Linked DNA regions of Saccharomyces cerevisiae S288C. Changing the gene in region 2 together with the main gene of any one other region gives a genetic interaction. Each region holds a gene or a part of one and is shown on either strand. Other genes may lie near its edges.

The links.
Region 1: mutations in COX19 (region 2) and YGR127W together harm fitness more than expected from each alone (negative genetic interaction), as found in Saccharomyces cerevisiae (one large-scale study listed by BioGRID).

The regions. Positions count from the first base shown.
Region 1 is NC_001139.9:744,888-748,402, reverse strand, and holds YGR127W (uncharacterized protein), read right to left. Parts: upstream 1,606-3,515; coding exon 667-1,605; downstream 1-666. Other genes in the region: UTP8 (Utp8p), read left to right, coding at 1-453; YGR126W (uncharacterized protein), read right to left, coding at 1,876-2,568; VSB1 (Vsb1p), read right to left, coding at 2,968-3,515.
Region 2 is NC_001144.5:107,840-110,791, forward strand, and holds COX19 (Cox19p), read right to left. Parts: upstream 1,134-2,952; coding exon 837-1,133; downstream 1-836. Other genes in the region: serine/threonine protein kinase KNS1, read right to left, coding at 1-60; aspartate--tRNA ligase DPS1, read right to left, coding at 2,063-2,952. UniProt on the Saccharomyces cerevisiae protein: Required for the assembly of mitochondrial cytochrome c oxidase.

The DNA.
Region 1 (3,515 bases), on a different chromosome or scaffold from region 2:
AATGAACTACTTGAAGAATTGTTTTCTATCAGAAACAGGGAACTATTACTTGATATCTCATTTAGGATTTTGCAGGATTTCACCAGAGACTCTATTAAACAAGAAATGAAGAAACTAAGTAAATTAGACGTTCAAAATTTCATTGAGTTCATAACAAGCGGTGGTGAAGACAGCTCACCAGAATGCTTCAACCCTAGCCAAAGCACGCAGCTATTTCAACTCTTGTCCCTTGTGCTAGATTCTATCGGGCTATTTTCATTAGAAGGTGCTCTATTGGAGAACTTAACCTTATATATTGACAAACAAGTTGAGATTGCTGAAAGAAATACCGAATTGTGGAATTTGATTGATACGAAAGGTTTTCAGCATGGGTTTGCTAGCTCAACCTTTGATAACGGAACTTCTCAGAAGCGAGCCTTACCCACTTACACCATGGAATACTTGGACATTTGAGTATGCAATGAATTTGATTGTATTGTATAATACCTATATAGAAAAGGAACTAATATATATAGCGTCTACTGTGGTTACTGATAAACTAACAGGCATTTAGAATTTGAAAACATCATATACATTAGATGTGTCCAACAAGAGATACCGGAATGTTCTGAGGGGAAGAAGATGGAATTTAAAGCTAGTTTGAAATAAAATGGAAGATTGTGATTTTTACAATTTGAATTTAAACCTTTTTTCCTCCTTAGGTGAGGTTACCGAATACTTGCGCACGTCTTCATCTGAGCTATAAAGGACCCTTTCTATAAAGGTAACTCTCGTTGAATCCTTACTCACGAGTAAAACTATTTGAGAGCGAGTTCCGTAGTAATCACCATCAGGAATTGAGGCACCTAAGTCATCCCTGGGAGGCCTCCGTAAAGGTGGTACGTATATGGTATTCATGGTTACATTTGGATCTACCATCTGCAAGACATCTGGGTTTGAAATAGTGCTTGGAAGGGAAGACTTCGAGGCGAGTTGAAAGCAACTTGATATTATTTTCTCCTCATCTGATTCAATATTCTCTAAAACTAGATTTTCTAAACTATCACGTGCTACCTTTACTTTTTCCCAAGCCTGCCCTGGTATACTGGAGCTGTCATAAAATTTACCATTAGAAACAACCATGTAAGAATCAAGATCTTTCCTACAGGTAGAACTCAACACATCAAAAGTTCTTCCTAGAGAATCAATAACTTTATATTGCTTTTTGATAACGTCGCCGTAAAAAAAATTAAAATCACCTGTGGACTTCAACCCATCATAGTGACCTTCAAACTTTTTGTAATTATCCCAATCTTCAAAATCTGCTTTATGGATCGACAAAAATATAAATGGTAACAGACCACGGGATCTTGATTTCGTATTATTTTGCTCATTGTCAAGTTTTAAATTAAGAATAGTGGCTAATTTTCCTTCTTTATTTATGCCAGACCAAGTGCCAAATATTTGTTTTTCTGCTGAGGTTTTGGCCAGATCGTAGGGTGAAAGGATAAAATCATTGTTATGCCAGCATGTAGCATGTGTTTTTCTTGCCAAGAATTCGTCTCTGTTAGATATTAAGATGAGTTCATAGTCAGGATGTGCCCTTGTGGCCATTAAAATGCACATTATTTGTTCGTTAGTTTTTGGTTTTTAATACTTTAGCCACAGGTGTGTTAATAAATGCAAGCGTTTCTTTCCTTTTCTGCCTCACTTCATATACTACTATCCTACTCCACTTTCAGGGGGAGACTATTTTTTTAGCGCTTTAGGAATTGAACGAAAAAGTCGAAAGCTAGGCAGATGCCAAGAATATAATGTGAGGCAAAAAAAAAAAAAAAAAAAAAAAAAGAATGATTCTGAAGTAAACGCATTGCGAACTAAATGTTGCTATGCCACTTAATCGAAAATTCTATGAAAAAACCCCTTGATCCCCTTTTCTGATTTATGTTTTTGATATTTTTCGATCCTCTTCTTATTCTTCTCTACTGCCATGTTCAACTTGTTTGGTTCTAGAGAAGAACCTTGAGAATTTGTAGTAACCTTGGATCGTGTCGAATGCATATCTGTATGGTCGTTAATATGCTCTTTTTTAGTTGAGGATACGCGAGAGTCCTCCCTCTTCAAACTTTCAAGCGTCTTCAATTTGACCAACCCGGTTTCAGTTTCTAAACGATACTCTTCTGGAAATGCAGCATCGTGAGCTGAGTTTGTTACTGGGGCGGTAATATCCGGAAGAGCTTTCTTGTTCAAATTTAAACCATCTTCTTTTAAGGAATCAACTGTTTCTGAGTTGCCCTCTAAAGCATTGTGGGTAACCATCTTTTCTATCGAATTTGAAGTTGGCCTTTTTAAAGTACTAGAACTGTGATGAGAATGCACATCTGAATGACGGTGTTGATCATCTACATTACTATCATCTTCCAGTTGCCCCTTTCCAACAATGGTATCGTTTTTTAAAAGAGGCTGTTCTGGAGCTTCAGAATCTTTGAACCCAGTAAAGGGCTCCGGTTTGTAAGAGTCAATAGAAGAAAAGGACGATATGTCTTCATATTCATTATCGGTAGTGACAGTAACAGATGGGACAGGCATAGTCTACGTTGATACGTTGTTATGACTTTGATTTGTTAATGCGGATATAAACTAACCGTACAACTACCCGTTGTGAATTGTTGTGGTAGTATATTAATGAAAAAAGTAACGGTATTTTTTTTCTTTAGGAGAGCAATTAAGTCAAGTGAGGTATGTAGTTGCTCATCGATGGGAATTATCACTTTTCGTCTACGATAGGGGCCCTATCAAAGAAAATCGCGCAGTAAAATTCCGGAAGTGAAGACTCAAGTACAAAAAGTTTATAGTCGAGATGGTAAAAATCCTACAACGGCATCACTTATACAGATGCAGGAGCATCCTGCTTTTATTTAGTACTGGTGTAAATTACTTGCAATACGCCGGCAATAAAAGAAATTAAATAAATATACGTGTACGCTCTCATGCGCTAACAAGTGTGTAACCTAGTAATTCTTTGAATCTGGTGTCCTTGATACACATGACCATTAATGCAACCTCCACGTACAATGCTAGATTGTCTTCTTTCAATTTGTTCAACGAGCTAGAGTCTATAACCCATAATACGGAATCAGTTTCAGTTTCGATGGTGAGCTTTTGTTCTCTAGGCATAGCATTCCCTGGCGCAATGATTTTTCCGAAGCATGTGCCATTTGAAAAAATCTCGTACAAGGTTCCTTGTGGTAGTTCATATGTTGCCTTCAACATACCTGTTTCCACAAGGAAAAAAATGTTGTCTGCATGTAGTAAATGTGATTGACTTGCTAATCTGCGCCTGGTGAAGTAGGGGCAGAGTTGTGCCCAAAACTTGATTTCCTTTTCTCTTACTTTTTGAACTTCAGATATTATATCGGGTCGGTACTGCTTTAATGCAAATAACAATATAGGCAGGACAGGTTCATCATCTTTGTACTCCTTTTTGAAATTCTTCACTGCTTGTTCGTCGTTTACAAATACATTCTGTGCTACAG
Region 2 (2,952 bases):
GGAATTATTCATATTTGCTCTTGAACGTTTTCTAGTGCCAATTTGAATATTCTGTGACATAACTAAGGTACGCGGAAGATAAAGCAATAATGAAGAAGAGCAGTATGCGTGTAGATTAGTCTTTGTTGTGCTAAATCTTCGACTTGGTAAATACTATGTTTCTTTCACTCTTTTTCTGTCTCCCACTTTGTTTCCTTTTTCTTTTTCTTTTTTTTTTTTGGGTTTGCTTGCTATCTGGCGCAGTATTTCGTGAATATAATATCTATTTAGTTAGCGTAAGCACGAGGAGTTACTGCACTGTTTCCTTTCACTTGGTGGTGAGGTAACAATACTTTGTAAATCCGGTAGATCTGGGAAGTAAATACTAAACTTTATTCTAATATAGGAACTTCATAATATAAAATCCAACGCACGATGCTAGAGATAAAAAAAGAGGGTGGGAGATGTGGAGCCAGGATTCAAATCGAAAATCGTAATCGGAAACTAAACCAGCATTGCAACCGGGCCATAAGCCATATCGTTAAGCACGCCAAAGCTTTTTCCCTTCGCTGTGTGTTTCCTCGCAACTTTAACTCCGGCCACTCACTAAGCCAAGGCGTGAGGAGAGAGACTAAAGCTTTGTGGAAAACCGCCCAATCACGCTGACCCCTTTGGCCCGTTTGCCGCCCCCTAGAAAAAAAAGAAACGGACGGGCCTGGGCCCGCACAGCCTCGAGCAGGGTCACTTCGCGCCATATCGGCGGCTATTTCAAAAAAAGAAGTTCTTTACCAGTTGTTGTAGAAAGTATGATATTACCAACAGCGTCTAGCTTTTATTCGATATTCCGATGTGGGCGGCTATTTATTATCGGTGGCGTCTTTTATGGTTTTACCGTTGTTGCCTGGAGCATCCTCAGGAAGACCTAAATGTGACCATTCATCGTAGTCCATCAATTGGTGGTCCATCCTGCACCGCAGGTAGTCCTTTGCCAGTAGTCTACAATTCATTGCATTTTCGTTCTGCACAAGCTGCATACATTTGAGATACTCTTGCATGTACTTGGTGCATTCGCCGTCGTGGTCTAGCGGGAACGAACCTCTCTCGGGTGGAGTAGGTCTCAATGCGCTCAGCGAGCTTCCTGGGTTCCCTGACATTGGATTCTTGTGTTATGTTTCGTAAAAGATACTTTGTGTGTAGTGGGTGCGTTTGCTTGTTTTCTTGAAGTATAGAAGAAGGAAAGAACGGAAGAAAAAATTTTTTTCCCTCTTGTTCGCTTTATTTGGATTTTCTCGTTTCTCAACTCCGCGAATTTGAGCCCTTTTCTTAGACCCCGGAGAGAAGATGCAGAGATGTAGTAATAAAAGCTTTTTATCCAAAAAGCTTTTAAGCTGTTGTTTTAAAAAAGGTTAAATGGGCGCTTTAGAGATCGGGTAGTGGGCAAAGCCTGCGATAAGAAAAGAGGGAGCGTGCTACTTGACCGGGAGCAGCAAAATGGGCGGCCCGAGCCTTAGATCATACTCATCGCCGATAAGAGTCAGCTTGGTAATAGAACCGCTGGTGCGTAAATGAGGCATAGAACTTATTATCGTCTTAAAAAACTGCCCAAAAAAATATTTTCCAGGTTTCTTGAAGAGTAATCTTGTTATGTAATTTTTTTTTGCCTGTGGATTGTATAAGGGACCAGAGGCGGTCAAAAACGCAAAAAGCGGCATGGTAGGCGAAAATACTAGGACGATTACTACTCAACTGACGCGTCAACTTAATATTGTCCTGGTACATAACCGAACCATCCCAGATGCGCTGTAAGTACTGTTTAAATGTATTTTAATATGTGCATAGAGCGTGTAAATTATGGCGAGCTATGGTTTCCGAATTGTCGGACTGCTCATAGCCCTTGCTTTCGGAATATTAGAAGTGGTCTGGCGGTAAAGAAAGTGTGACATATGTCAGACGTTGAGACTTATATGTGTAAAGCTAAATATAATAATTCAGTTAAAATAAAAGTGGGTGACAGGAAAAAATTAGAAATGTTGAAAATTTTTTTACCTTCACTCGCTACATAAAAACGTTGGAGGAGACTCCTTCATGGTCTTAATCTCTTTGGATCTCTTGGGAACAATGAAGCTCTTCTGATATTTTTCAAATCCAAATAGAACATAACAACTCTTTCCAAACCGATACCACCACCGGCGTGTGGAGGACACCCATAGCTGAAGCCGTCACAGTAGTCCTTTAGACCTGGGTCCTCAGGAGACAAACCATGGGCTTTCATCCTTTCTTGTAATAGAGCATGGTCGTGGATACGTTGTGCACCGGACAAGATTTCTTCACCCCTCATGAAGAAATCATACGAGTTAGAATACTTAGGGTTGGCTGGGTCGGGCATTGTGTAGAAGGGACGGATCTCCAAGGGGAACTTGTCTAGGATGTAAAAGTCGGTGTCGTATTTGTCGCGAACCAACTTACCCAAGAACTTTTCATTTTCGGTACTCAAGTCTTCAAAATCACCAATTTCCTTACCGGCAGCTCTTAGCATTTCAATACCTTCTTTGTATGTTAGACGAACCATCTTACCATCTTTAGGTAACTTGAATTCTTCAACAGGGTATTGCTTACGTACCAACTCAATTTCATGAGCAAATCTCTTGGGCAATTCACTGAAAATAAACACAAACAACTCACTCAACGTGTCCAAAACTTCGTGGTAATGTTCTTCGAAAGCCATTTCCATGTCCAAACCAGTAAACTCGGTCATGTGACGGTGGGTGTTGGAGTTTTCAGCCCTGAACACAGGCCCGATTTCGTAAACTCTTTCAAAGTCGGCCACAATCAATTGTTGCTTGTTAAATTGTGGAGATTGAGCTAGGTAGGCCTTCCCTTTGAAGTATGTCACCTCAAACACACTGGAACCACCTTCACTTGGTGCACCCAACAGTTTTGGTGTGTGTACTTCGGTAAATTTCTTTGTGGCCA